4 linked regions of the Anolis sagrei genome follow. The protein of the gene in region 1 purifies or fractionates together with the protein of each later gene. This does not show direct contact. Links are inferred from orthologs where the notes say so. Each region holds a gene or a part of one and is shown in the gene's direction. Other genes may lie near its edges. The genes, in order: PPP6C, ANKRD44, PPP6R3 and PPP6R2.

The links.
Region 2: the proteins of PPP6C (region 1) and ANKRD44 purify together in Homo sapiens (affinity purification with mass spectrometry; 5 studies listed by BioGRID and IntAct, counting the BioPlex papers as one, with this or other methods). This does not show direct contact. The link is inferred for Anolis sagrei from reciprocal best matches to the Homo sapiens genes PPP6C and ANKRD44.
Region 3: the proteins of PPP6C (region 1) and PPP6R3 purify together in Homo sapiens (affinity purification with mass spectrometry; 10 studies listed by BioGRID and IntAct, with this or other methods). This does not show direct contact. The link is inferred for Anolis sagrei from reciprocal best matches to the Homo sapiens genes PPP6C and PPP6R3.
Region 4: the proteins of PPP6C (region 1) and PPP6R2 purify together in Homo sapiens (affinity purification with mass spectrometry; 9 studies listed by BioGRID and IntAct, counting the BioPlex papers as one, with this or other methods). This does not show direct contact. The link is inferred for Anolis sagrei from reciprocal best matches to the Homo sapiens genes PPP6C and PPP6R2.

The regions. Positions count from the first base shown.
Region 1 is NC_090031.1:6,410,394-6,418,068, reverse strand, and holds the start of PPP6C (serine/threonine-protein phosphatase 6 catalytic subunit), read left to right. Parts: upstream 1-4,511; 5' UTR 4,512-4,851; coding exon 4,852-4,926; intron 4,927-5,509; coding exon 5,510-5,605; intron 5,606-7,318; coding exon 7,319-7,384; intron 7,385-7,653; coding exon 7,654-7,675. Other genes in the region: RABEPK (rab9 effector protein with kelch motifs), read right to left, coding at 865-1,014, 1,328-1,489, 2,953-3,105, 3,336-3,484, 3,900-4,162.
Region 2 is NC_090021.1:178,796,835-178,804,671, forward strand, and holds the start of ANKRD44 (serine/threonine-protein phosphatase 6 regulatory ankyrin repeat subunit B), read left to right. Parts: upstream 1-4,682; 5' UTR 4,683-4,847; coding exon 4,848-4,874; intron 4,875-7,837. UniProt on the Homo sapiens protein: Putative regulatory subunit of protein phosphatase 6 (PP6) that may be involved in the recognition of phosphoprotein substrates.
Region 3 is NC_090021.1:239,335,127-239,343,134, reverse strand, and holds the start of PPP6R3 (serine/threonine-protein phosphatase 6 regulatory subunit 3), read left to right. Parts: upstream 1-4,890; 5' UTR 4,891-5,032; intron 5,033-8,008.
Region 4 is NC_090025.1:200,514,338-200,522,162, forward strand, and holds the start of PPP6R2 (serine/threonine-protein phosphatase 6 regulatory subunit 2), read left to right. Parts: upstream 1-4,782; 5' UTR 4,783-4,800; coding exon of another isoform or gene 4,801-4,977; exon of another isoform or gene 4,978-5,153; intron 5,154-7,825. Other genes in the region: protein DENND6B, read right to left, coding at 320-382, 521-600, 1,367-1,472, 1,641-1,721, 1,816-1,934, 2,082-2,124, 4,649-4,687, 4,801-4,977. UniProt on the Homo sapiens protein: Regulatory subunit of protein phosphatase 6 (PP6). May function as a scaffolding PP6 subunit. Involved in the PP6-mediated dephosphorylation of NFKBIE opposing its degradation in response to TNF-alpha.

The DNA.
Region 1 (7,675 bases):
TAGGGTAAATACCCCTGGTCCATAGTACTACTGTTAGTAGTAGCACTATTACTAATAATAGATTCTGCAGGGTTAATGCATCCCTGGTCCGTAATACTACTACTACTACTACTAACAATAACAATAGATTCTGCAGAATAAATGCACCCCTAGTCCTTACTACCACTACTACTAATAATAATAATAATAGATTCTGTAGGGTAAATAGACCCTTGATCCATAGTACTACTACTAGTAGCATTACTACTAATAATAGATTTTGCACAGTAAATGCACCCCTAGTCCTTACTACTACTACTGCTGCTGCTAATAATACTTAATAAATAATAATAATAATAATAATAATAATAATAATAGATTCTGTAGGGTAAATACACCCCTGGTCCATAGTACTACTACTAGTAGCACTGCTACTAATAATAGATTCTGCAGGGTTAATGCATCCCTGGTCCTTACTACTACTACTACTGCTACTAACAATAACATTAATAACAATAGATTCTGCAGAATAAATGCACCCCTAGTAACTACTACTACTACTACTACTACTAATAATAATAATAGATTAAATTATAGGGTAAATACAACCCTGGTCCATAGTACTACTACTACTAGTAGCACTACTACTAATAATAGATTCTGAAGTGTAAATGCACCCTGGTCACTACTACTACTACTGCTACTAATAATAATAATAATAATAATAATAATAATAATAATAATGGATTCTGCAGAATAAATGCACCCTTCGTCCTTCCAAATTACTATAATGCTTGAGTTGACAGTGTAAATGCACCCGTAGTCCATAAGATTTCAGAGCTGGAATGAAAAAGGGTCGAAAAATCCAAACCCATTTGCGCTTACTTATATCAATGGAGAAGAGGTCGCCGTAAAACGTGTCGCTGGCCAAGCCGCCGTGGATGAAGAGTCGGCTCCCGACGGCCACCATTGCATGGCCATGCCGAGGCGTGGGAGCCTGGCCCGAAACCTCCGGTTGGAGCCATGTCAACGTGGCTACGTGGGATGAGAAACACTGGGGTGAGATGGGAGAAAAGTCCTCCCAAAATCCAATCAGATTGTTGTCAATTGAAGCTTCGAGTTGGAGGGGACACCAAAGGGCATGCAAGTCCAACAACCCCCTTCTGCCAGGCAGGAAGGCACAATCCGATCCCTCCCGACAGATGCCATTCAGTCTGTACTTTGAAGCAGTCGAAAATCACAGGATGTGTTTTGACAAAATAAACAAGTCTCTACTTAAAAGCTCATAGATCTCTTCCAACTCTAGGGACCTCTTTTACTTCCCAAGAACCAAAACTCAAGAGCTAACCTGAGTCAAATATGTGAAGCTGCTGGTCTTGAACAGGGTCCGCTCCTTTGTCGCCGCCTCCAAAGACATACAAACGGTCCCCGATGGCCGCTGTGGACGTGTGAAAGGTCCGAATGGATGGAGGAGTCCCGCTTACCTCCGGCTTCTCCCATGTGCCAGTCTCTAAGGAGGAAAGCAGACAAACCATTGTTTGGTCAGTGGATTTTGGAAGGAACTACAGCCGTCCTTCCACATTATAATATAATATAATATAATATAATATAATATAATATAATATAATATTGTATATACATATAATATTTATAATATTATAATGTAATATAAAATAATACTAATAATATATTTTAATTATATAGTTTATATTACATGTAATATTACTAATAATATTAAAATATAATGATATAGTACAATATAGTAATATATAATACTGATATTGTACTCTCTTCACTCTGGCCTAGAGCGGCACTTGGTGCTGGTGGAGGGGTCCCCAAATATCCCACACTGCCTCAGGATATATCAATATCATAGGTATATGCTTAAAAGGCCCATGGGGATCTTAGTTATGATCCAAAGCAGTTTTTATTTATTTATGTATTTATGATATTTAAATACCGCTCTTCTCACCCCGAAGGGGACTCAGAGTGGCTTACATGATATATATACATACAATATATTATATTATTAGCCTAGTACAATATCAGTATTATTTATTACTATATTTTACTATATCTTTATATTATAATATTATTAGTAATATTACATGTAATATACAATATTTAATTATAATATATTATTAGTATTATATTGAATTAGATCATAATATAAATATTATATTATATTGTATATAATATAAATATTATATGTATATACAATATATTACATTATTAGCATAGCACAGAAGACAAGCTTTTTTTAAATACTGCTTTTACAGATGCATTCAACAATGTTGTGCCCCACCTTGAGGAGAGGGAGGTAAGAAATAAATTATTATTATTTATTAGAAATGGAGCCCCTGGTGTCACAGCAGATTAAACTGCTGAGCTGCTGACCAAAAGGTAGGTGGTTTGAATTGGGGGAGCTGGGGAAGCTCCCACTGTTAGCCCTAGTTCCTGCTGACCTAGCAGTTTGAAAATATGCGGCGGGAAGGTAATGGTGTTTCATGCAGTCATGCCAGCCACAGTCATTGAATCCTTGACAGCAGAAGGTGTCACCCCAAAAGAGATTCATCAGAGAATGCAAGCTGCTTGTGGTGGTTGTGTTGATGTGAGTACTGTGCGTTGTTGGGTGAGTAAGTTTAAAGGAGAGGGAGGTAAGAAATAAATTATTATTATTATTTATTAGAAATGGAGCCCCTGGTGTTGAGGTGACATCTTCTGCTGTCAAGAATTCAATGACTGCACATTGCTTAAGTCGTATTGACTGACCATCTGCGCAGGGTTCCATACTTTGCACTTTAACAACACAACAGTTCAATGCTAAGGCTTCCCGCCAAAATGGAACTGTAGAGGAGAGTCTACTGGACAAGCCAGTACCTGCCACATACCAGTACTGCCATCTATTGAGAAGTTACGAAGGTGGAGACATTACTTTTCATTCAACCTTCGTAGAAAACAAGAAATACTTACGAAGGTCCAAGACCTGCAGGCAATTCCGGTTGCCACCTTCGCTGGCTCCTCCGAAGACCCAGAGCTTTGTGGGCTGGCTTTCGGGAATGAAGGCAGCCTGTTCGTATCGGGGCAAAAGGCCTGACCACTTTGGGGCGCTCCACTTGTGCGCATCTGTTGGGAGACAAACAGGTGAGAAAGCACCACTTGGTCCAAGTAATAATAATAATAATAATAATAATAATAATAATAATCTTTATTTGTACCCCGCCACCATCTCCCCAGTGGGGACTCGAAACAGCTTACATGGGGCCAAGCCCGGACAACATATTACAGCAGAATGAAACCAAATACATAAACAAAAAACGTCTACACCGGGGAGTTAATGCGGTTTGATCCCTCACCGAGGTCAAGGGTATAGGAGTCGGAGAAGCTGCCGTTCGGGTCGGCCCCTCCGACGATGAGGACGGTGCCTTTCTTGTTGTTCGGGAGGTGAAACGAGACATGGCCGACGCGGGGGCAAGGGCCCTCCCCAAAGGGAACCAGGGAGTACCTACAAATAGAATAATAATAATAATTTAATGGGTTGCTGTGAGTTTTGCAGGCCATGTTCCAGAAGCATTCTCTCCTGACATTTCACCCACAGCTCGGAATATCTATATCTGGAATGGGTCAACTTCGGCCCTCCCTCCAGGTGTTCTGGACTTCAATTCCCACAATTCCTAACAGCGAATTGTGGGTATTGAAGTCCAAAACACCTGGAGGGAGAGCCGAAGTTGACCCATTCCTTATCTACACTGCTGAGTTAACCCAGTTTCATACCACTTGAACCACCCTGGCCCTATATTCTAGGACTTTGGTGAGACAAACATATTTCATTAAAACATTAAAACATATTTCATTAAAACACGCATTCATTCCCCCATCTGCATTCACACGTGCACCGCAGACCCGTGTTTACAGCGCACCAGCTGGCTACTTCCGGTTTGCTCCCAGGCTTCAGCTCTTCCAGCGCCGCTGGCGACATTGATGCAAAGGGGGCGGGGTTTGGTGCTGTCGCCACGCCTTCTTCGTCGTTGCTAGGAGATTTTAAGCCCCGCCTCCAGGCTGCTGCAGTCGACCTGCCACCTTTTTCGCCAAGAACCAATCCAAACGCCTCTGCGCATGCGCGGAAGCCGAACACAGAGAGACCGAAAAGGCCTTCGGAGACGGAAGGAATGTTTCCGCGCATGCGTAGAGACGCGAACGAAAAGAAGCGCGAACGAAAAGGACCATTGAGAAGAAAGAGGGTTTTCTGCGCATGCGCAAAGGGCGGAAATATAGAGCGACAAAGGGAAGCGGAAGGGTGTCTTCTGCGCCTGCGAAGGGGAGGCCCTTCGGAGGTGGAGAGGGTGTCTGCTGAGCCTGCGCAGAAGCTGGGCACAAACCCTCTGAGTGGAAAGAGGGCTTCCTCTGCGCATGCGTACAGGGAGGAAATACAAAGGGAAGCGCCATCGGAAAACGGAGGTGTCTTCCGCGCCTGCGCAGAAGCTGGGCACAAACCCTCTGAGAGGAAAGAGGGCTTCCTCTGCGCATGCGTAAAGGGCCGGAATACAAAGGGAAGCCCCTTCGCAAACGGAGAGGGTGTCTTCTGCGCCTGCGCAGAAGCGGCGAAGGGGAGGCCCTTCGGAGGCGGAGAGGGAGTCTTCTGCGCCTGCGCAGAGTCTGGGCACAAAGCGGGAGAAGGAAAGGGCCTTTGAGAGGAAAGAGGGCTTCTTCGGCGCATGCGTAGAGCCGACAGAGGAGGAGAGGGCGCCTTCTGCGCCTGCGCAGAGGCCGGGACGCTCAGGAGCGGATGTCCTCTGACACAATCCGGAAGTGGCCGCTCTCGCTTCCTGTCCCTTGACTCTCCTATGCCCCTTCTTCCTTCCGCTTTCCAAAATGGCGCCGCTGGACTTGGATAAGTATGTGGAGATCGCACGGCTCTGCAAATACCTGCCCGAGAACGACCTCAAGGTGAGGCCTGGAGGAGGAAGAGGGCCCGAAGCCTATTACACTAGGCCTGGGCCAAGTTGGGCCTTCCCTCCAGGTGTTTTGGACTCCAACTCCCACAATTCCTAACAGCCGGTAGGCTGTTAGGAATTGTGGGAATTGAAGTCCAAAACACCTGGAGGGAAGGCTTAAGTTGACCCAGGCCAGGTTTAGATGGAGATATAGAGAAGTCATGCACTGTGTGTATTGTATATAAACACTAAATTCATTCCATTGATCTGTTCTATTCTATCCATCCTTTGATCTATTCTATTGAGGGGTTGAGAGGAGACACGAGGGTTTTGGACACGAGGGCCATGTACAAATATGTGAAAGGATGTTACAAGGAAGAGGGAGCAAGAAATGATCTTTCAGTTGAGGTGTTTCAAGCTTTAAAGGTTACAAGAAGCACTTCGAACTGGGCTTGGAGATGGTATGGTTTTACTTCTGTTGGCACAATGTGGTCATTTCAGCCATTACTAGCCAGAAATGTTCCTGTGTTTTTATTTGCAATTATGTTGTTCACAATATGGAGAGCTCTTGTATTAAAACGATGTCCTCGTTCTAGCGCTTATGTGACTACGTGTGTGACCTGCTCTTAGAAGAATCAAATGTGCAGCCGGTTTCTACCCCAGTTACAGTCTGTGGCGACATCCATGGACAGGTGAGATTTCTCACGCATTTACATACTGTGGAGAATTTGATGGTATTTTCCTCTTCCATATAGTGGTTTTGGCTTTCTAAGCAATAGTTGCTATAGCTTAACGTGATCGGTACACTGGGTGCAGTGCCTAAAGACCTTGACCTGCATTTAAAAACAATCAGCGCTGGCAAAATTACCATCTGTCAGCTGCAAACGGCTGCCCTACTCAGATATGCACTCATTATTTGTTCATACATCACACAGTCTTAGACGCTTGAGAAGTGTCTGACATGTGTTCCAGTACAAAAGCCAGCATGGTGATCTTGTTTATTGTGTACTAATGTATATTATTATTATTATTATTATTATTATTATTATTATTAATGACATTTATATGCCGTCCTTCTAACCCCGAAGGGGACTCAGAGCAGCTTACAAGATATATATACATACAATATATTATGTTATTAGCATAGTACAATATCAGTATTATTTATTACTATATTGTACTATACCATTATATTGTAATATTATTAATAATAGAACATTAAGATCGTCTGGGGAGGCCCTGCTCTCGATCCCGCCTACGTCACAGGCTCGCTTGGCGGGGACGAGAGACAGGGCCTTCTCAGTGGTGGCCCCTCGGCTATGGAATGCCTTACCGGCAAACATCAGACAGGCACCTTCGTTGCTGACGTTTCGGAGAATGGTTAAGACCTGGCTTTATGAACAAGCGTTTGGTTAAGCAGTGCAACCAATCAAAGGAAGACGGTAAATGGAACATAGGAATGGCAGAATGATTATGAGAACGGATCTGATTCAACTGAGGCGTTATGTTATGTTTGTTTTGTTGATTTGTCTTGTTTGATTGTTAATTGTTGTGGATTGATGCTGTTGATCCTCCTTTTTGCATTGTTATGTTTTAATTGCACTGACACTGTTTGATAATTGTACCATGTAATTGTACCATTGAGTCGCCTGTTTGGGCTGAAAAATGCGGTATAGAAATAAAGCAAATAAATAAATAAATAAATAAATAATAAATAATATTACATGTAATAGAAAATATATAATTATTATAATAATATTATTAGTAGTATTATATTGCATTACATTATTAAAAATGATGATGATGCACTTTATTTATATTCCACCCATCTCCCCGAGGGGACTCAAGAGCAGATAACAGCATTTACAGCAGACATTGGCCAACGTTCAATGCCTTACAGTCCCATACAATAAGAGACACAAACACAGACATGGCAAAGGATTGTCCTTTCTCATTTCCGGTTTCTGGAGGTGTAGTGCTCTGTTCTGCCTCTGGGGGAGGTGTTCTCTATTTGCAAGCCGAGGAGCCTGTGTTGTCACCTCCTGGTCATGTGGCCTGCAAGACTGCTGTCTTTTCCTGCTGTAGCAGTACTTATTTATCTATTTACCTTTGTATGTTTTTGAAGTGCTAAGTTGACAGGAGCTAGGGCTAACAGCAAGAGCTCACCCCATTCCATGAATTCGAACTGCCAACCTTTAGGTCAACAATTTAGCAGCACAAGGGTTTAACCCATTGTGCCACTTTGGCCCCATTAATAAACATTACAATATAATTAAATATAGGAGTAATAACAATTAATAATTCAAAACAATACAGCAATAAACACTATTAAAATTCATAAATACCAACCAGCACCCTCTGCTTTGATATAATCTTTAACATTGTCTTCTTTTTTTGCCTTTCAGTTTTATGATTTATGTGAATTGTTCAGAACTGGAGGCCAAGTTCCCGACACAAACTACATATTTATGGTGTGTATAAATAGAAATCTGAAAATGTATACATTTACTAATGTCATAACATTGCAACTTAATCTTCAAGGTAGCTGTTTCTTTTGTTTTGCTACTCAGCGTGTCTCGCCTCTTTATGATGTTGTTTGTTTGTTTGTAGCCTAATGAGGGCTAGTGGGGAAGGAAATAAACAATTAGATCCTTGTCAATAATCATTTTTTAAATTTACATTTCGCTTTCTATGTTATAGTTACTGGACGGTGTGCACTAAACTGTTGTTTTAATTGCAGGGAGATTTTGTAGACAGGGGCT
Region 2 (7,837 bases), on another chromosome or scaffold:
TGAGCCATGTCAGTTAAAATGGATTCAAACTGCATTAATTATATGGTGAAGATGTACCCCGAGCGAGTGAGTGAGACAGTCATATTCGGTACTATTCCTGTTTTGTTTTTGTTTTTAATTCTTTTATCTATATTTTTTACATTGTGGAAACAATCTGATTCAATTCTGCCATTTTGTTTCTTTACTTTTGGCAATAAATTTAAAACATTCATTCAATGTATCTACGGCCTTTCATGACCGCAAATTGCTGACATGATTCTTACTGTATTAATAGAATCACAAAGGCAGCAAATGAATGTTGATGCTAATCCTTTTGCACAGCTTGGCTCCCACCAGATGTGCCAGATTAGTAATCCCAACATCCTCAGCCAGCACATCTGATAGGAATTGTAATATATCTAGAATAGATCTGATTGTGGAAGGTTGTTTAGTGCCTGCACAACAAGACATTGATGATAACGTTAGCCACCACATTTCTTTAAGTGTCTTGATTACTTAAATATCTATATAAATAAAAATGTAATGTTCATTTGTTGGATTAACATAACTCATAAACCACTGGATGAATTGACACCAAATTTGGACACAAGACACCTAACAACCCATTGTATATCCTTCATTCATTTTTTTTTATTTTCTCATTTGGGAGTTGTAGTTGCTGGGATTTGTAGTGCACCTACAATGAAAGAGCATTCTGAACTCCACCAATAATGGAATTGAACCAAACGTGGCACACAGGACTCCCATGACCAACAGAAAACACTAGAAAGGTTTGGTGGGCATTGACTTTGAGTTTGGGAGTTGTAGTTTACCTGCATCCAGAGAGCATTGTGAACTCAAACAATGATGGATCTGGACCAAACTTGGCACAAATATTCCATATGCCCAAATATGAACACAGATGGAGTTTTGGGGAAATAGACCTTGACATTTGGGAGTTGTAGTCACTGGGATTCACAGTTCACCTACAATCAAAGAGTATTCTGAACCCCACGAACGACAGAATCAGGGCAAACTTCCCACACAGAACCCCCAGGACCAACAGAAAATACTTAAGGCCATCCAGTCCAACTCCCTTCACCAGGGCAAGAAAATGTAATCAAAACCCTCCTAACAAAGAGTCATCCAGCCATAGATATAGATAGATATGATTCACACACACACAGAGATATAGTATCATTGATTTGAAAGGGACTCCTAAAGAAAGACAATTATATGTTCTTGTTTCATGGAAGCTTTGCTTGGAAAATTCATGTTTTAAGTGCCTTTGTTTCATGGCTTTGATTCTTGGATTCTATGCTTTTATATTCATACCTTGGATTCATATTTCCTGATTTCTTGCATTTTATTTGGGAAGTTTTGACTTTGTTTTTATGGACTTTGCTGGACTATTACCCTGGACTACTTCGCTCCTGCTTTTCTTCCTACCTAATTGGATTTACCTATTTATTTAAAGTGTGTTTTTTTTTTTACTTTACTGCTTTTAATTATCTTCAATAAAAGGATTGTTTCCCTATCCAATGGTGTGGTATTTAAAGTCAGAGGGCAACAGACGGTAGCATTTGCAGGCCAATAGGAGAGTGTTCCCGACCTCCAGTGTAGACTTCCCTCTGTCCAATGGCTGAAGTGGGGCAGGAGAGTCCAGGAGATGAAGTATATAAAATGTCTGTTTTTATATTTATTGTACCAGTTTAAAATCCTTCCCAGTATAATTGCCATGTAGATGTGATTTTATTGATTATTTTTCCAATCGGAGCAGACCCATTTAATCAGTTGTTGCCTAGAGAATCAACACACAGACAAATCTCATTTAATAATGCTCAGTTAGGACTAACCAATCGCCTCTAGGCAACAATCCACCAAACTAATATAATTCCGATGTCATAAATCATGCTTTAGTATCTAGATGTATATGTGCGCACTGCAATAACTCTAGGCATTTATATATGTATATTGGGGCATGTTAATTCAGTGCATACTTTTGTCTAGACTTTCTACCAGCTTCTGGCCCTGGAATCTCTGGCATTCAGGTCTCTAGTTCAAATCTCAGCTGCTCCTTTCTGTTGCAGACAAAGATTTGGATGGAGATCTGGCAGGATTTAAAGACTAAGATACAACATGCCCCTTCTATCGGAAGGACCGTGTTTTGTCCAAACAGGCACATCATTAACAATAATTACGGATAGCAATGATGATTTAGCAATCTTTTCCCACGGCTATTAGTTTGAACAACACAAGCACAGTCTGCAAGCTTAGCATCTAAATGTCCAATTAATTTACATGTGTCCCAGTCCTGAATAAATGAAGTCCCCAAGTTACGAACAAGATAGGATATATGTGTTGTCGAAGGCTTTCATGGCTGGAATCACTGGGTTGCTGTGAGTTTTCCGGACTGTACGGCCATGTTCCAGAAGCATTCTCTTCTGATGTTTCGCCCACATCTATGGCAGGCATCCTCAGAGGTTGGAAACTACGCAAGTGAAATTTATATACCTGTGGGAGAAAGATCTCTGTTTGACGCAAGTGTGAATGTTGCAATTGGCCACCTTGATTAGCATTGAATGGCCTTGCAGCTTCAAAGCCTGGCTGCCTCCTGCCTGAGAGAATTTATTTATTTATTTAAAACTTTTGTATCCCGATCTTCTCTACCTCCATAGAGGGACTCAAACCGGCTAACAGCAAGGAATCAATGCTAACAATACAATCTAAAACATCGTACATCAACAATAAATTAAAATACATATAGACTAAAATACATAAAAGCCATTGCGTTTATCATGTCCCACTCAGCCGCATATGTGGTCGATAACTTGAGTAAATTGCCAGTCTCCGCCATCATTCTGGGAATGCCTCGTTCCATAGCCAGGATTTCACTAGCTTCATGAAGGTCAGTAGGGAGGAGGCAGATCTGATCTCAATTGGGAGAGAGTTCCATAGCCAGGGGGCCACCACAGAAAAGGCCCTGTCTCTTGTTCCCACCAGACGCGATTGCGAGGGTGAATCCTTTGTTGAGAGAATCCTTTGTTGGGAGGTGTTAGCTGGCCCTGATTGTTTATTGTCCGGAATTTCCCTGTTTTTGAGTGTCGTTCTTTATTTACTGTCCTGATTTTATGATTTTTTAATACTGGCAGCAAGATTTTATTCATTTTCATGGTTTCCTCCTTTCTGTTGAAATAGTCCACATGCTCATGGATTTGTATGTACGTTGAAACAGTGTAACTCCAACCACATACATATGCATATGCATAGTGCTTTGGATAGCATAGGGAAGGGGTAAACACCCCTGTGAAGTTTGTGCATCACTACATCTATATGGCATGTATGTATATGTAGATTCATCACTACATCTATATAGTATGTATGTATATATATAGATGCATCACTACATCTATATAGTATGTATGTATATGTAGATGCATCACTACATCTAGTATGTATGTATATTTAGATACATCACTATATCTATATGGCATGTATATATATGTAGATGCATCACTACATCTATATAGTATATATGTATATATAAATGCATCGCTACATCTATATAGTATGTATATATATATAGAGATGCATCACTACATCTAGTATGTATGTATATTTAGATAAATCACTATATCTATATGGCGTGTGTATATATGTAGATGCATCACTACATCTATATAGTGTATATGTATATATAAATGCATCACTACATCTATAGAGTATGCATGTATATATATGTAGATGCATCACTACATCTATATAGTATATATGTATATATATAGATGCATCAATACATCTAGTATGTATGTATATTTAGATACATCACTATATCTATATGGCATGTATGTATATGTAGATTCATCACTACATCTATATAGTATGTATGTATATATAAATGCATCACTACATCTATATAGTATATATGTATATATATAGATGCATCACTACATCTAGTATGTATGTATATTTAGATACATCGCTATATCTATATGGCATGTATATATATGTAGATGCATCACTACATCTATATAGTATATATGTATATATAAATGCATCACTACATCTATATAGTATATATGTATATATATAGATGCATCAATACATCTAGTATGTATGTATATTTAGATACATCACTATATCTATATGGCATCTATATAGTATGTATGTATATATAAACGCATCACTACATCTATATAGTATATATGTATATATAGATGCATCACTACATCTATATGTCATGTATGTATATGTAGATTCATCACTACATCTATATAGTATATATATATATATATGCATCACTACAGCTATATAGTATGTATGTGTGTGGGTGCATCTATATATCTCACACTAGAGAATGAATCCACTGCCTCCTGCAGAACACTGGGGTTTGTAGTTTAGGGAGAAGCCTTGAACAGCCTCCCTAAACTACAAACCCCATAATTCTGTAGGAGAAAGAAACCGGATTTTAAGTGGAATCATTCTCTAGTAGTGTGATGGAAATCTATATATCTGGACGCTAGGGAGAGAAAGCCGGGTGAGACACAAAGGAAAGGCTTTCCCGGGCCGGTCCTGCAGGGGGCAGCAGAGCGCTTTCCCGGCCAGGCGGGTGGGCGGTGCGAAGGCGCTTTTGCGGCCGGGCTCGGCAGGGGGCGCTGTGGCGCAATCCGAGCGCGGCTGCCTGCGCTGCGCATGGCTATATGGTGCGTGTGTGTGTGTGTGTCTACAGGGGGTGATGTCAGTGCCCCGAAGCCAGAGCGGGCTTGGCCAGGGACCAGCGGCAGCAGCAGCAGCAGCAGCCACGGGCTCGCTCTCTCCTTGATCCAGGAGGAGGACCGCCAGTCCATGCCTTTGAGCCAGGAGAGGGAATGGCAGTCCTCAAGCTCACCGACCAGGTAAGACAGAGAGAGACACATACAGACAGACAGACAGAGAGAGAGAGAGACAGAGAGGAGGAGGCTCAGCTGCAAAGGCTGAATGGCCAGAGCTGCTGAAGAAGCATTAGCAGCAGCATGTTGTTGTTGTTGTTGCTGCTGCTGCTGGATTGTAATTGTTGTTCTGGAGAGGAAGTGGGTGCTTGGCTTCCCATCTCCAGGGCTTGATCCTTGCAAAGGCATCCTTTCAGGGTTGGCTCCTTTGCAGGGGATCCCTCTGCTCATTGCCTTTCTGTGGCTTCTTTCTTTCTTTCTTCCTCTCTTTCTTCCTTGAGAAGGCATTTTTGGAGATTCACATCCTTCCCATTTCCTTCCCATTTCCCCCAGTAGCTTTAATAGCTTTGGATCCAGGCAGGAGGGGAGAGGAGAAGGCCAGCCATCTGTATTATTATTATTTATTATAGCATACTATAATATATTATATTACTATGTATAATATTATATCATTGTATTATGTGATGCTGTATTATTGTTTTATATTAGACTATATTGTAGGGTTGTTTTCTATTATATTATTGCTTTATTCTTGTTTTATATTATACTATATTATTCTTGTTTTATATTAGACTATATTATGTTATTATTATTACTGTTTATAATATTATATATTATATACTATTATATATTATATATTATATACTATTTTATATTATATATTATATATTATATATATTATTATATTATTATATACTATTTTATATTATATATTATATATTATATACTATTTATAATATTATATTATAATATTATATCATTGTATTATGTTATGCTATATTATTGTTTTATATTAGACTATATTGTATGGTTGTTTCTTATTATATTATTGCTTTCTTCTTGTCTTATATTATACTATTTTGTACATATTTTCGTTTTTTGAATATTATGAATATAATTGTTTTATTGTTTTACAATTTATTGATTTATTTATGACATTTATATGCCGCCCTTCTCACCCCGAAGGAGAGCTTACAAGTAAAAAGTAAATACAATATATTATATTATTATCATAGCATAATAATAATATTATATATTACATTGCACAGTATAACATTATACTGTAATATTATTAGTAATATTACATTTAATTCAAATGTAATACAAATGTAATATAAAGCCGGGAGGACTGAAGACCGGCAGGTCACAGTTTCGAATCCGGGGAGAGGCGGATGAGCTCCCTCTATCAGCTCCAGCTCCTCATGCGGGGCCATGAGAGAAGCCTCCCACAAGGATGATAAAAACATCAATCATCTGGGCGTCCCCTGGGCAACGTCCTTGCAGACGGCCAATTCTCTCACACCAGAAGTGACTTGCAGTTTCTCAAGTCACTCCTGACACGACAAAAAAAAATTAATACAAAATAATTATATTATTTATTATTATTATTATTAGTATATTGTATTATATTATAATATTATCAATATTATAACATTGCTATATTATTCATATTGTCAAGTAATGGCGAATTGACAGTTATTTTATTACTTTTTATACACATTATTGTTTTATATTATATCCTCGTTTTATGAATATTACAATCATTATTTTATTGTTTTATAATAAAGATTATAACATTGTTATATTCATATTGTTGTCAAATAATGGCTAATTGACCGTTATTTTATTACTTTATTATTTTGTGCACATTATTTTGTCAGTACTATTGTTTTATATTATATTCTTGTTTTATGAATATTACAATCATTATTATATTGTTTTATAATAAATATTATAACATTGTTATATTAGTCATATTATTGTGGAATAATGGCTCAATGACAGTTATTTTATTATTTGTACACATTATTTTATCAGTACTATTGCTTTATATTATATTATAACCTTGTTTTATAAATATGACGATTGTTATTTTATTATTTTATAATATTATATTCTATTATTCATATTGTTGTTGGATAATTGTTTAATTTAAAGTGATTTCTTAGTATTTTTATTATTTTATACATATTACTTTATCAATATCCCATATTTAATATTTATTTTATTATTTTGTACATATTATTTTATCACTTTGCCATTTATTATCATCATCATCAGGCCACCCTGTTCCTCCGCTGTACAAACCCAGTTTCTCTCATTGCCCTGTGAGATCAAGAGTTGTAAAAAATTACTAATATTGTTGAATAATTATTTAATTTCAATTGGTTTCTTATCTTTTATTATTTTATACATATTACTTTATCAATATGACATTTATTTATTTATTTTAAAAATTATTGTATGCACATTATTGTATTACTTTCCATTTATTATTATTATTATTATTATTATTAATCATTATCATGATCATTAGGCCTTCCTGTTCCTCTGTCGTGCAAATCCGGTTTCTCTCATTGTCTGGGGAGATCAAGCAGTTGTCAAAATCCTGGAGAAGGCTTTCATAGCATTAATGCAATAATAAACACCTCTCTCCCTGTGTGTATGTAATGTATATGTATGTATGTATACACTGTGTGTGTGTTTGTGTGTGTGTGTATATATCTATATCTATATCTATCTATATATATATTCATGCCTTGGGATGGTTATTGGACCAGTAGGGATTATTGTGGTAGGTTGGTTTGTATCTTGATCACCTTGAACTTGAGATCCCTCCACATTTTTTATTCTGCCGCCTCCTCCATCTGCATCCTGGGGGTGGGGAGGGAAGCGAGGGAGAGGAGAAAAAAAATATCTCTGTAACCATGATAGGATTAATTAAAACATCCTCTGTGATCTCTGGCATGGCTGGGGGTGTATCCTGCAGTCTTTACCCATCAATGCTTTGAAACCCTGGGATTTGTAGTTTGGTGGAGCACAGACATCCTTTGGCAAAGACTGTGCAAAACTGCAACTCCCATGATTCCGAAGCTTTGAACCGTGACAGTTCAAGTGGTGTCAAACTGCATTAATTCTCCAGTGTGGAT
Region 3 (8,008 bases), on another chromosome or scaffold:
TAGTCATTGCCAAAAAAGATTTGCTTACAGGTACATTTACCTTCAAGCTATGCCTTAAGCATAAACTGGAAGACAACAAAAATAAAGAGTCTGGTGGCACAAACTTCAATATTTTTCTCAAGTGAATTAGCAGGCCACCATAGAAATAGGTGGAAGCTTCTATGTGTTTGAATGCAGAGGACAGGAAAGAGTTAAAAGATAGGAGGAGGGACACATTAGACACCAGATGTCCAAAGCCAATATGTAGGTCACCTATTTTACCCTTGTGGAATTTGAATTGCTGTGCTGCATCCATGCATAAGGAAAGCCAAATAACATAGCTGCAGTCAATTTGCTCCCTTTAAGGGAAATCTCATTCTGATTTCTATCAGCAAATAGCTCAATTGATTATTTGGCAACTGTTTTTTAATAAATCCAATATTTTATAGTGTTCGGCACAGATAACGTTAAACAGAATATAGATGAATAATATATACCTATTCACAACTTTTCTACTTTTTGAAATTAATAGTTCTCGGAAATAGTTCACTATGCTAAGTACTAAGACACTCTTTACTACCCCAATGCAGTGTCACCAGAGGTAAAAGTTAAAGATTTGTGGGGGGTTTTGCTGAAGCAAGAACAAAGAGATGAAGAGTTAATTGTGAAGTATAGACAAACTGTATTACTGGATTACAGAGAAGCATGGTGTCAATGTCAAATGGCAGATTGCCAAAGAGCAGTTCAGCCCACCACTTTATAGCTTATGGTAAACAAATAGCTGGCAAATACAAAAGAGGGGTTTCTGTCTTATACAGGGGGTCCTTGGTATCCACTGGAGTTTGATTTCCATATTGTGGACACCAACATCTGTGGATGTTTGAGTCCAGTTTCTGTATATATATTTGTGTACAAAAATTGGTACTCCTTATATAAAATGTCAAAATCAATGTTTGGTTTTTTTGGGGGGGGGGGGTGTCAATATTTTCAAACCATGAATGGCCGCAAAATCTGTGCATATGGAAGGTCTGACTATGTACAAATAGACTGAATAAGTGGATAGCAAATTTTGATTGGATGGACTGAAAACATAGTACAGGCAGTCCCTGAGTTACAAACATCCAACTAAGAAAAGACTCAATGTTACAAATGGAGGGTGAGACAACAGGGAGTGAGAAAAATCTACTCCTCAGAAGGGAAATTCACTCCTGAAAGACTTACCATGGGGGAAAGGTGTCTCCACTGAAGCTTTATCACCAATCTTTGTTTCCACAACAAGCCATTTTTTTTTCAAAATCCAATAATCACAGGGACAGAAGGTGAGGTGAAATCTTCTAAACAGGGGCTCAGACAGCAAAACAAACCCCACAGGAGTGCCCTATGTCATCCAATGATATTAATTTGACTGGTATTACACTTAAAAATGTACCTGTTCTGATTTACAAACAAATTCAACTTAAGAACAAACCCACAGAACCTATCTTGTTCATAACTTGGGGACTGACTGCAGTTTGTTAGTCCTATGTCTTCTCAATTTATGAAAGGTGGGCTTGTATCCACTAATTGAAGATGATTATTAACTGATTGGCTAGAGGTTTCTGGCTGGACAGTATATATGGTTGGGAGGCCATGAACAGAATATAAACAAGTCAGCAAGAAGAGAAATTAGGAGATGATGAATAAAGCCGGAAGAATTTGCACAGCAACAAAGATTTAAGATTGCAGGAAGCATGCAAGCAAAGATTCAAGTCACACGAGATGATGTCTGGAGCAGGACTGCATATCAGAAGAAAACCTCCCGAGGCAGCCTTCATGACAGAGGTGTGATCTGAGTATCAGTGGGTGGTGGGGAATCTGAGTGACAGTGCATTGCTCAATCACATGGAAAACGAAAATTCTATCTGATAGAAAGCCTTTCATACAGAAACCCATTTATTAGTCTAAGTCAGAGGTTCTCCAACTTTTTCAACCATGGATCACTTTTTGAAGGAAAGGTTTATCATTGAGCCCCAAGAAATGTGTGTGTGTATGTGTGTGTGTATCAGGCATGGGCAAACTTTTGACATAAGGGCTGCACTGCATTTTAAAATTTGACAGACGGGCTGGACCAGTGGCAAATGGATGGAGAGTGTTTGTGTGAATGATTTTTTTTTAATCAACTAATTTCTATGCACACTTCTCGTTTGAGGTGGAAAAAAGAAAGAAAGAAAGAAAGAAAGAACAATACAATATTTATTTTTTTACAATTTTAACCAACACAAACACACCACAAAAACAATACAACATTTAAAATTAAAATATTAACAATTTTAACCAACACAATCTTAATGGTATTTCAGTGGAAGACCCTTGGTCTGTGCTCTACAGGACTCCCACTGCTGCCACCGCTACGCTGCTCTAAAGCAAAAGGAACTGTCTTGCAGAGTGATAGTCAAAACGATATAGAGTCCCACTGGTGCCACTGCCCCCACCCTCCTGGCCCTGGTCTTGCCCTTCTTCGCTGCACTGCTTTTGGTGGTCGGGCTTCAGCAGCTGGTGCTTCCAGTGCTTCGGAAGTGGGGGAACAACCAGCTAACCAGTCCCTTCTTTCCCACTGCCATGTGCTTGGAGGGGAAGGGGGGGGGGGAGGAAGAGGAGGGAAGCACAGAGCCCCTGACTGTGCTTTGTGGAGCTTAAGGGCTTCATGGAGCACAGTTTGAGAACTGATGGTCTAAGTAAAGCAAAAGGAACTGTCTTGCAGAGTGATAGTCAAAACGATATAGAACTTTAGAAGTTAGAGCGGTGTTGTTTTGACTTAACTACTTGGAAGGTGAACTGGCTGTGCAGGGAACAAATCAGAGACTATTTAGCTAAATCAAACAAGAATTTATTAACTGACAAGAATTTTAGGGCTTCTCTCCTTCTGAGTCTCACTACAAAGCCTTTATGAGGAGAGGCAAAGTATTTGAGAGATAGACAGAGTTCTGGCCAAAGTGAGTCTCTGGAATCGTTATTTCTTCTTATTGTGTCTTTCTTGTATGGTGTTCACTGTCTCTAAGATGGTCTCAATATTTAACTCTGGCTGGACTTAAATACAACTTTGACTGACATCAATACAGCTCTGACTGAGCATGCTATTTTGTAGACTTTCTGGACTTCCTCTGTCTTCACCTTCCAGTCACCAAAAGGCCTGACTCCTCCAAGAGCTAGAAGTGCCTTGCCTGATACTCTGCCCCTGAGGGGATTCTTAAAGGGGCAGGGTGACGGAGGCTTCGAATGCAAAGAGGCTATCTAGACTGACCTCTCACAAAACTGTATACAAAATGCTAATTCCCTCTAACTAAAAAGGGCTGAAATAGGGGTAAACAATGAGCATTCTTGCAGAGGCACAAAAGATGCAATTAACCATTTATTCTACTGAACATTTCGTGGAGGCAGAAAAGTAGCCAGTTGGATGTCTTACATTGGTACATTCAAAAGTTGCCTGAAACTTGGGGAAAGGTTATCGCGAACTCCATTGCTGAGCACATATGGTGCTGTGGATTTTGGGATACGTTTCAGGGTTCTGGTTTGGACAACACCACCATCCCTGACTTGAACTTTTTTATTTTACAAAAAAACAAAAAAACAAAAACAAAAACAAAACAAGATCAGTCTGCTGGCTGTTGTATTGGCTCACACGTTGGACACTTCCCAAGTGTCTAGGATTGTGTGATGTATCGGCGAATAACGCGTGCAGTAAAGTGGCCTTTTGCAGCTGGCAGATGGTAATTTTGTCAGCGCCAATTGTGTTTAAGTGCAGGCCAAGGTCTTTAGGCACTGCACCCAGTGTGCCAATCACTACTGGGACCACCTTGACTGGCTTGTGCCTGAGTCTTTGCAGTTCAATCTTTAAATCCTCATATCGTGATTATTATGATTATTATTAAAATGTTGTATTTGTATTGAACTTCTAAAATTATGTGTGGGTTTGTTAGCCGCCTTGAGCCCCCAGGATTGATCTTCAAGATGGATTTTCTCAAGGACCCATTTATCACTTTGGCAAACCATACTCTTCCAGCACATTTTAAATAAAATGGTTCCCTTTGAAATTGGGAATATTGTGACCTGGATGATGCTGGCTATAGAGTTGCCAGAGTGAGCTTCACCAAGTTCTGTTTTGGGAGGTATTTTTGAGAGTTTAAAGCCCAAGAGCTCCAGAATATTGTGAAGAATAACACTGTCATTCATTCGGAATGAAGCATTTTTAGCTTCGGTCTATTATGAGATACCATAACTACAAAACAGAATTTAGATTCCTGAAGAACCCAATGCAAAACTGGAGAATGCGGGCATCGATCCCGCTACCTCTCGCATGCTAAGCGAGCGCTCTACCATTTGAGCTAATTCCCCTCCCGGCGGCTGCTTTCCAATGGGAGATATCTAAACGCCCTCCAGAACAACGTTCTTTTAGCCACACCCACTGCTATTAAAGATGCGCTGTTGCCAGGCAGTTTCGGATTTTAGTTTCTCTTTGGGGGAGTGGTTTTTTTATTATGTCCAATAGGAAAACACGTATGAAGAACGTCTTCAGTTCCGCCTCCTTTAATTCTCATTGGTCAGAGCCCTACGGTAAGTGATTGGCCACTGTGGGTTTATTTTTAAACGGCAATGAAGATTTTGGTTGGGTGGTTTGAATGTCCTTCAAGGTGTCGTAACATTGTTGCTAAGGCGTGAATATGAGAACTGAGAGGGGCCCATTTGAACACGCTGATTGGGTTAAATGAAGCCGTGACCCCGGCCCTTATCCTTTTATTGACCAATGGCAAACGCCTTGCCTTGTGATCGACAGCATAGGTAAGCCAATAGCAAACAGAGGCTTTCCCCGTTGTCCAATAGGAGAGGCGATTGATGAGGAAAGGTGTGCGCCGCGGAGGAATGATTGGCAGGAATGGGGGGAGGGAGGGAGGCAGAACCGGGGAGAGAGGAGGCTCTGGAGAGCCATGTCCGCCATCTTGAAGAGTCGGTAATGGCGGCGAGCGGCCGTTTTCCCGCCTGAGCGGGGGTTCCGCCAGGGGGAGACGCACTGGCTGAGGTAGGGGCTTCGGGCGGGGGTCCGCTTCCTCTCAGGACGGCTCCTCCGTCCATCCTTGTGCCGCCCGGGGAGAAAGGAAGGAGGGAAGAAGGGGGGCCCGCCGCCGCCGCTTCTCTAAGGGGAGGGCAGGAAGGGTTTGAGCCGAGGCCTGGCCTTGCTTCTTTCATTGGCTCCGTGGCGAGCGGCCACAGGGCTCCTTCCGTCCCGCCTTTCTCTCTGCCATTCAGCGGCCTGGTGGCTTGCTTCTTCTCCTGTTCCTCCTCCTCGCAGGCCCCTCGGGGTGCCTTTCCCCCTCTCTCCCCCTGTTCCGCCCCGCCATGGCCTTCTCCTGCATGCACCCTCTTGCCGTAAGAGAGAGAGGAAGGGGCTCTTGGGCGAGGAAACTCCTCTCCTCGACCCCCGGGGGCTTGGGTCAGCAGCCCTTACGGGATCAAACAGTTGGAAGAGACATCCAGCCCAGACCCATTATGCCATGCAGGAACACAATCAAAGCAACCCCGAGAGATGGTCATCCAGCCTCAGTGCTTTCACCGAGGTGGGAGCGGCGGGGGCACGTGTGTCCCCTCACCCATTCACACCTTTCTGCCTCACGGTCGGCCTTGTTGGCTTGGGAACTCTTCTCCGTTCTTGCACGAAGAGATCCATTTATAATATTATTATTATTGTTATTATTATTATTAGTAGTAGTAATAATAATAATAATAGTTTATATCTGCCCCCTCTCCCCAGGGGACTCGGGGCGGCTTACATCATAAATAATACAACAAATGCAATACAATACAATCTATATAAATAAAAATATAATGTTCGTTTTTTGGATTAACATAACTCAAACACCACTGGGCAAATTGACACCAAATTTGGACACAATACACCTATCAGGCCAACGAGTGACCATCACTCATAAAACACTGGAAAGCACAGCAGAAGGGACTTAAAAACAAAACAAAAAAACAACAACAACTCCTCATTACAATGCATGCACAAAACCACATATACACACACATATATATACACAAAACACATATACACAAACGGCCACAGCAACGTGTGGCAGGGGACGGCTAGTAAAATACATACAGTGGAATAAACAATAACACATACCCGATGGCACAGTGGGTTAAAGCCCTGAGCTGCTGAACTTGCTGACCGAAAGGTTGGTGGTTCGAATCTGGGGAGCGAAGTGAGTTCCCGCTGTCAGGCCCAGCTTCTGCCAGCCTAGTAGTTTGAAAACATGCAAATGTGAGTACATCAATACGCACCCCTTCTGTGGTAAGGTAATGGCGCTCCACACCGCCAGCTCTTTATCTTAGAAATGGAGATGAGCACCACCCCCCAGAGTTGGACACAACTAGAAAATCAAGTAACAAAAGTTAACAATAAAATTATGAACATTAGATTTAAAACACAATCATTCCTATGAGCTAAAAGAGGCATGTTATCATAAATCCATATCCTAAAGATTGACTAATCACTGCCAAAAGCCTGTTTAAATAACCAGGCCATCAAGTCCCTCCTAAATGCCGTGAGTGTAGATGCCTGTCTAATCTCCCTGGGGAGGGCATTCCAGAGTTGGGGGGGGGGGGCACCACTGAGAAGGCCCTTTTCCTTGTCCACACCAACCTTTTTGCAATATTATTGTCTATTCATGTTCCCTGCTGGAACCACTTTTATAAAAAAAAACCTGCAGTACGTCTCATTTTTCAGGTTTTTTTTTTTAAACAAACTTTAGGCTATGAAGTCACTTCTTTACCTGTGTGGAGATAGAATCATAGAGTTGGAAGAGACCACCCAAGCTATCCAGTCCTACTCCATTCTGCCATTAAGAAATACACAATTAAAGCGTTTCCAACAGATGTCCATCAGGCCCTGCTTAAACTCCTCAAAAGAAGACTCCAAGGCAGCAGATTCCACTGCTAAACAGCTCTTACCACCTGGAAGTTTTTCCTAATCCCCTCCCCTGCAGTTTAAATCTATTGCTCAATGTATCCCCGAGGAGCAGAAAACAAGCCTGTTCTCTCCTCAATGTGACATTCCTTCATATATTTAAACATGTCTCTCATGTCCCTTTTAGCCTTATTTTCTCTAAGCTAGACATACTCAGCTCCTTCAGCCATTCCTCACAGGGCTTGGCTTCCAAATCTTTGATCATTTTGGTTGCTCTTCTCTGGACACATTCCAGGTTGTCAATATCTTTCTTTAGCAGTGATGCCCAGAACTGGACACAGGTGAGGTCTGACTAATGTAGAATAGTTGTAAAGTTACCCTTTATTTACTTGAGTGAAGTATAATCCTGCACTTGGTTTTTGAGCTAAAGAAATCCCTCAAGCAGGGTTTTGAGTTGAATGAGTAATGAGAATTAATCTAGTGTGTTGAACTGCTTTATCATTGTGATAACCCAAAAGGCCAAACTATAAGCAACCAGCTCTAGGCAAAAAGTTTTGGCAGGACTTCTAATCCCACAAAAATACAACTGTTTCAGGAGATTCCACCTGAACATTAGGAAGAACTTCCTGATTGTGAGAGCTGTTCAGTGGAACTCTCTGTCCCCGAGGCTCCTTCTTTGGAGGCTTTTAAGCAGAGGCCGGATGGCCATCTGTCAGGGGTGCTTTGAATGCGATTTTCCTGCTTCTTGGCAGGGGGTTGGACTGGATGGCCCATGAGGTCTCTTTCATCTCTATGATCCTATTACTCTGATTCTGTTCTAACCAGTACACTCTTCTTGCTTCCTGGATACAGTGTAGGGAAAATGTTTAGTTGATATTAAAATGAACACCAGTTCTTTAAAAAAAATGCAAGTTGCTAACTAAACAAACTTGAAATAATGTATCTTAAACTATGTTCAGACTGAGAAGATTAAGACCATTCAAAATTTTTCTCTTTTATTGTAACAACCTCACCACTGCTGTTTCATTGTCTCAGTTTGATATTATTTTTACTAATGACTTGGTGGGGGTACACAAGGGTGAGGAGATC
Region 4 (7,825 bases), on another chromosome or scaffold:
TCTTTGGGAAGAAGCAGGCAGGCATCCTGGTGGTCCAAGGGGCAAGGGGTCGACCGAGGGGGGGGAGGGAGGGGGCATCTGACCAGCAATGAGCTCTTGTGGCCAGTGGCGGGGAATGCCACCCAGGCAGGGATCTTGGGATGCCCAGAGGCCAGGCCAGCCCTTCGCAGCCAAGACGCCACAGAGGCCAAAGGGCGGGTCAGAGGGGGAGTGGCCTGGCACCCCCTCAGGGAGAGGAGGAGGAGAGGGGTGGTCAGGCATTTGAGGCTGGGGGAGGCACAGGGGATGACCCTCGCCCCAGACCCCAGGCGGCTCTCACCTCTTGCTTCAGGGGCAGCACGGGGCTGGCATCGGGCCTCTCCACCTTGGAGGGGATCCGCACCTGTGGAGCAAAGGCCGTCCTGCGAAGTCCGCTCCCTTTCCAGGCTGCGCTTTGGAGGGGGGGGGGCTTCACCAGGAGAGGTGGGTCCCAGAGGCCCCCCCCCCCCAGTTTTGTGTGAGAGAAGGTCTGTCGCGGTACCTGAATGACGACGCCCATCACAGGCAGGTTCAGCGTCTGGCCGGGCACCGGCGGGGGCCACTGGTCAATCTCACTGCACACTGGGGGAGGGAGGCAGAGAAGGGGAGCAGACACCCCTCAGCCAGGCCACTTGGGCCCACCACCTCCAGCCAGGGACTGGGGGACCCCCCCTTCTGCTCTGGCTCTGCTGGCAACACAAGCCAGGCTGTCTCACAGCCTGGGGAGGTGCCCGTGACCCTCCCTCACACCCAGGCCAGGAAAGGCCTTTCAGGAGGGCGTGTGCCCCCTCCCCACCACAGACCCTTCAGGCTGGACAAAGCCACTTGAGCCCACCATCTCTAGCCAGGGACTGGGGATCCCCCCCCCTTCTGCTCAGGCTCTGCTGGCAACACAAGCCAGGCTGCCTCACAGCCCGTGGGCCCCCCCTCTCACCCAAGCCAGGAAAGGTGGCGTGTGCCCCCTCCCCACCACGGACCCTTCAGGCTGGACAAAGCCAGCAAATCAGCAGCCTCTGCCCCACAGACATGGCCCAGGAGGCTCCCCCCCCCCAAAGTGCCCCCTTGCAAAGTGCTGGGCCACTTGAGCCCACCACCTCTAGCCAGGGACTGGGGACCCCCCCCCCCCCTTCTGCTCAGGCTCTGCTGGCAACACAAGCCAGGCTGCCTCACAGCCCGTGGCCCCCCCCTCTCACCCAGGCCAGGAAAGGTGGCGTGTGCCCCCTCCCCACCACGGACCCTTCAGGCTGGACAAAGCCAGCAAATCGGCAGCCTCTGCCCCACAGACATGGCCCAGGAGGCTCCCCCCCCCCCAAAGTGCCCCCTGCAAAGTGCCCCTCCTCCTCCTCACCGGCCTCCAGGCAGGGCTCCAGCTTGTCAAAGTACTCGGGGGCAATGAGCTGCAGCAGAGACTGGAAGAGGTTCACGTAGGGTAGGCGGGAGACCAGCACCAAGGACTGCGACACGGAGGCAGAGGGGGGGGGGGGGAGAAACACGCACACACGTGAAGAGAGAAGTGTCTGTGTCGCTCTCGGAGATACAATCCCCCTTGTAGGGGTCCTGCTGGGCCCGTGGATGTGCACGCATGGGGGGGGGGGGGTTGGGGGGACACGGTGGCCACTCACCTTCTGGAAGTACCCCCTCTTGACGGAGGAGTCCCTGACCTGCCGGAAGTAGACGTAGCCAAAGTAGTGGGCCGTCTCCTGCTGGGAGGGAGAAGGGGAGGAAGAAGGAGGCCCTTGAGGCTTTGTGGCCCCCATTTTGGGCCCAATCCCCAGGCGGGGCCCCTGTGTTCCTGACCTGCAGGGCGGCGGGGGCCTCCTTGCGGCAGGCGGTGGCGCTCTGGGCCCAGGGGCGCTCCCGGAGGCGGGACCCGGACTGGCGGAAGCGGAAGCAGTACTGCGTGTCCCCCAGGCTCCCTGGCAAAGGAAGGAAGGAAGGGAGATGGAAGGGAGTGGCAGGTGAGGGGGGGGGCAGAGGCAGAGAGGACCCCTTCTGGCTGCCTCTCCCCCCCCCCCCCCCCGAGGCTCCCTTTGGCCCCCTTCCGTGCCCCCTTCTCCACTCACCTGAATAGGAATCCGGGAAGGCCAGGTAGCAGATGCTGGTCTTCTGCAGAAAGATCAGAGGAAGTGAGGTGAGGCTGGGGGTGGCCACAGCGTGGGGGGGGGGGGGGAGAGAAAGAGGATGCAGGGCTTGAAGGGAATTGTGTGGGAGGGGGATGAAGGGGCCCCCACTGTGCTGAAAACACAATTCTGAAATACGAAGGCCTGGAACACAACTACACTGCTGAACCGTAATTAAAAGTTGCTCAACTGCTGACGACCACAGAGAAATGATTAACTGCTAAACTTTGGATGAAAAATGTCGTGTTTACGTCATCAGAGGCAATGGCTCCTGAAGTTAAGGGAATGTTTACAAGGTTCCTTACGTTAAGAAGGAAGCCAGCAAGGCTCCTTGAGAAGGGAAACCAAGGGTCAGTTAAGGAAAGTCAGCATCTGCCCAGGAACCGATGGGAGTCACCTTCTTCAACTGTCTTCGGAGAGTGACCCTTTCACCCATTTTGTGTTTGTTCCCATCTACAGTTGTCCTCATGAGGCACTTTCCCCCGTCCTTAATGAATCCTAGAATCCTAGAGTTGGAAGAGACCTGGTGGGCCCTCATCCAGTCCAACCCCATTCTGTCAAGAAGCAGGAATCTTGCATTCAAAGCACCCCTGACAGATGGCCATCCTGCCTCTGTTTCAAAGCTTCCAAAGATGGAGCCTCCACCACGCTCCGGGGCAGAGAGTTCCACTGCTGAACGGCTCTCCTTACAGTCAGGAAGTTCTTCCTCATGTTCAGGTGGAATCTCCTCTCTTGTAGTTTGAAGCCCTTGTTCCCTTGCGTCCTAGTCTCCAGGGAAGCAGAAAACAAGCTTGCTCCCTCCTCCTCCCTGTGGCTTCCTATTTGACTGTGTTTGGCCTTCCTAATGAAGGCCAAACCCCGTCACTGCTCCTCCTCCTTGGCTCCTCCCGCACAAATACAATTCTTCTATCCCGACCTCATCCAAGGCTTTAATATTTTATCTTGTGCATTTGGCCCGCCCTTTGTGATTGACTTTTATTATATCAATGTATTGTTGAAGGCTTTCCACAGATATATAAACCCCTTTTCCTAGTTCCAACAGACCTCACTACCTCTGAGGATGCTTGCCACAGATGCAGGCGAAACGTCAGGAGTGAATACCTCTAGACCAGTGGTTCTCAACCTGTGGGTCCCCAGATGTTTTGGCCTTCAACTCCCAGAAATCCTAACAGCTGGTAAACTGACTGGGGTTCCTGGGAGTTGTAGGCCAAAAACACCTGGAGACCCCAGGTTGAGAACCACTGCTCTAGACCATGGCCATATAGCCCGAAATACCTATAACAACTCAGTTTAATTATATCATTTTGCACTGTTTATTTTACTTTGCTATTTTATGTATTTTGTTGTGATGTAATCTTTCTATTGTGTTGTATTTTATTTTGCTATATTATTTTTGGGCTTGGTCTCATGTTAGCCGCCCCGAGTCCCCTTTAGGGAGATGGTGGCGGGTTATAGATAAAGTTTATTTATTTATTTATTTATTATTCAACGTCTTGGAACAGAATCAGCAGAAATACTGCTCCGTAAGAGACCTTGTAATATTCCTAAAATATTCCTGGTCTGGCCTCCACCAAGCTCTTCTCCATGGGAAGGAGTTGTGTGTCTGGCAGGGAGGCCGGTCTGCCATGCAACGCAGAGCCTGGCCACTTGCTCCTTTCTCAGAGGAAGGGAGAGAATGTGTTTTGGGAGTATGGGGAAAAGGGCAGATTTGCAGGGAAGCAACCGGGCCAAAGTGCAAGTGGTGCCCCCCCCCCATGGCTCTGGAACTCCCTCCCCAGGCTGAACTACATTCATGGAGCCTGGACTGCGGCTGTGTTCTTTCTCAGCCATATTATTTTGTTGTTGTTTACAATTGTGATTGTCTTTATATTTTATCTGATGTTTTTAATTTGATTGTGTTTTATCTGTAATTGTTGTCCCTTGTAAGCTGCCCCGAGTCCCCTTGGGGAGATGGCTGGCGGGGTATAAAAATCAAGTTGTTATTATTATTATTCTCCAAAAGGTTGAAGAAATGGTTGTGTATTTTGTGTGTGTGTGTGTTGGGAGTGGCTTTAGAAACTGCAAGTCGCTTCTGGTGTGAGAGAATTGGTCGCCTGGAAGGACATTGCCCCGGGGACGCTGCCCAGATGTTTTCCCACCCTTGTGGGAGGGAGGCTTCTCTCAGGTCCCCTTTGCATGGGGAGCTGGAGCTGACAGGGGGAGCTCAACCCGCTCTCCCAGGATTCGATTGTGAACTAACCAAGGGAAGCTTTTTAATGTTTGTGAGAGTTTACAAACACCAGCCGCATCTATCCCTGGCCTGGGCCCACTGGGGTCCTCCCTCTGGGGGTTTTGGACTACAACTCCCACCGGCTGTGAGGAACTGTGGGAGTTGTAGTCCAAAACCCCCAGAGGGAGGTCCCCAGTGGGCCCAGGCCTGGTGTTTCCCCTTTAAATCCTATGGCTGTTCCTGATGGGGCGTGGCCTCCCTCCCCGGGGGCGTGGCCTGGCTCCCTGTGGGCGGGGCTTACCTCCTTCTCGCTGAGCGCCGGCTCCGGCGGGTAGACCAGCTGCAAGGGAAGAAGGGAAGGGAGGGAGGGGCGTTAGAGCGGCGAGGAGGGGGCGGGGCCAGACGAGGGGGCGGGGCCAGGGGGCGCCGTGACGTCACCCGCGCTCCTCCCACCTCGATGGCCTGCCCGAGCTCCAGGTCGAAGGTGACTGCGCAGGCGCACTCCAGCCAGGCCGAGAGCCGGGCCCAGGGCTGCGCGGGCGGGGAGGGGGTCTCCTCCTCCTGAGGCGGCGGCGGCGGAAGAGAGGGGCTCCGGGAGGGGAGGGCGCCGCCGCTCGGAGGCTCCTCCATCGCCGGCCCGGGCGGGGAAGCGCCTCAAGCTCCGCCCCTTCCGCTTCCGGGGCTCGCCGCTTCCGGTTCCGGCTGCGCTCCTTGAGGCGTCCATTTTGGAGCCGGAGCCGCCAAGAAGGGAAGCCGAGCAAGAAAGAGGAGGAGGAGGAGGACGACGACGGTGGCGCGGGCCCCGGGTGAGTTCCGCCTCGTTCCTTTCCTCCAGGCCGATCAGGCCCATCCGGGAGGGAGGGAGGGAGGCCTTCCTTCCTTCCTTCCTTGGTGCCTGCAAGGGGCGCCCCAGGGAGAAAGGAGGCCCGGCCTGGCCCCAAGGGAGGAAGAGAGAAAGGAAGAGTCCTGGCGCCTCTTTGCCCGGAATCGCCCTGGCTCTCAATCTGGGCAAAACAAGTAGAGAGCGCGAGGGAGTCTGAGGTGGAAGGGGTCCAGGGGAGGAAGGGGAGGCTCCCCCTCAGAGGGCCACAGCCCTGGAGACCCCGAAGGAAGGAAGGAAGGAGGCTCCCTCGAAGGAGGAGCACCCTGGAGAGACGGGCCTCTTTCGCCCTCAGGGGAGAGGAAAGTGGAGAGGAGCCACGGCTCATAGAATCCTCAAGCTGGAAGAGACCTGGTGGGCCATCATCCAGTCCAACCCCATTCTGCCAAGGAGCAGGACAATCACGTTCAAAGCACCCCTGACAGATGGCCATCCAGCCTCTGTTTCAAAGCCCCCATAGAAGGAGCCTCCACCACACTCCCTCCGGGGCAAAGAGTTCCACTGCTGAACAGCACTTCTTACAGTTAGGAAGTTCTTCCTCATCTTCAGGTGGGATCTCATAAGCTTGAACCCATGGCTCCATTGCGTCCTAGCCTCCAGAGCAGCAGAAAGGAAGCTTGCCCTCTCCTCCCTAGAACATCCCCTCACATATTGATCCATGGCCTTCCTCATGTTTCCTTTCAGCCTTCTCTTCTGCAGACTAAACATGCATAGAATCCTAGAATCAAACAGTTGGAAGAGACCTCCTGGGCCATTCAGTCCAACCCCTTTCTACCAAGAAGCAGGACAATCGCATTCAAATCACCCCTGACAGATGGCCACCCAGCCTCTGCTTAAAAGCCTACAAAGAAGGAGCCTCCACCACTCTCCCACCGGGACAGAGAGTTCCACTGCTGAACAGCTCTCACAGTCAGGAAGTTCTTCCTCACGTTCAGATGGAATCTCCTCTCTTGTAGTTTGAAGCCATGGCTATTGTACTTTGAAACCATGGCTCCATTGCGTCCTAGCCTCCAAGGAAGCAGAAAGGAAGCTTGTTCCCTCTCCCTAGGACTTCCCCTCACATATTTATACATGATCCTGATCATGGCTACTCTTAGTCTGGGCATGTTTAGCCTGAAGAAGAGAAGGCTGAGAGGAGATATGATGAGAGCCGTGTATGAATATGTGAGAGGAAGCCACAGGGAGGAGGAGGGAGCAAGCTTCCTTTCTGCTTCCCCGGAGACTAGGACGCAGTGGAACAATGGCTTCAAACTACAAGAGAGGAGATTCCACCTGAACATGAGGAAGAACTTCCTGACTGTGAGGAATGTTCAGCAGTGGAACTCTCTGCCCCGGGGGGAGTGTGGTGGAGGCTCCTTCTTTGGAAGCTTTGAAACAGAGGCTGGATGGCCATCTGTCAGGGGTGCTTTGAATGCAACATTCCTTCTTCTTGGCAGAATGGAGTTGGACTGGATGATGGCCCAGGAGGTCTCTTCCAACTCTAGGATTCTATGATTCTTCTCTCCTTCAGGCTAAACATGCCCAGCTCCTTAAGCCGCTGCTCATAGGGCTTGTTCTCCAGACCCTTGATCATTTGAGTCACCTTCTTTGTCTGGACACATTCCAGCTTGTCAATATCTCTCTTGAATTGTGGTGCCCAGAATTGGACACAGTGTGATTCCAGGTGTGGTCTGACCAAGGCAGCATAGAGCGTGGGGAGCACGACTTCCCTGGAACTAGACACTAGGCTCCTGTTGATGCAGGCCAAAATCCCATTGGCTTTTTTTGCCACCACATCACACTGTTGGCTCACGTTTAACTAGTTGTCCTTACTTACTTAGGTGATCCCTCATAGTCCGAGGATGATGTTCCTCCAAGAGTGGTAACCTGGGGCTGGGCCCGTAGGTGGCTGTGGAGCCCTATTCTTGATCTGCATCTTCTCCCTTCCGCAGTGAGGGCATCGGTTTCCAGGTGGAAGGTGGTCTTGGTCGGGGTTGGCTTGACGTGCCTTCCTCTTGGCACGCTTCTCCCTTTCGCCCTCCATTCATGCCTCCTCAAATTCTGCAGCACTGCTGGTCACAGCTGACCTCCAGCAGGAGCGCTCAAGGGCCAGGGCTTCCCAGTTCTCAGTGTCTATGCCAGAGTTTTTAAGGCTGGCTTTGAGCCCATCCTTAAATCTCTTTTCCTGTCCACCAACATTCCGTTGTCCGTTCTTGAGTTCGGAGTAGAGCAACTGCTTTGGGAGACGGTGGTCGGGCATCCGGACAACGTGACCAGTCCAGCGGAGTGGATGGCGGAGGAGCATCACTTCAATGCTTCTTCCAGCACGCTGATATTTGTCTGCTTGTCTTCCCAAGAGATTTGCAGGATTTTTCAGAGGCATGTGACGTCTGTAGACTGCCCATGTCTCGCAGGCGTAGAGCAGGGTTGGGAGGGGAATAGCTTTATAGACAAGCACCTTGGTCTCCCTATGGATGTCCCGGTCCTCAAACACTCTCTGCTTCATTTGGAAAAATGCTGCACTCGCAGAGCTCAGGCGGTGTTGTATTTCGGTGACGATGTTGACTTTGGTGGAGAGGTGGCTGCCAAGGTAGCGGAAAGGGTCAGCATTTTCTAATT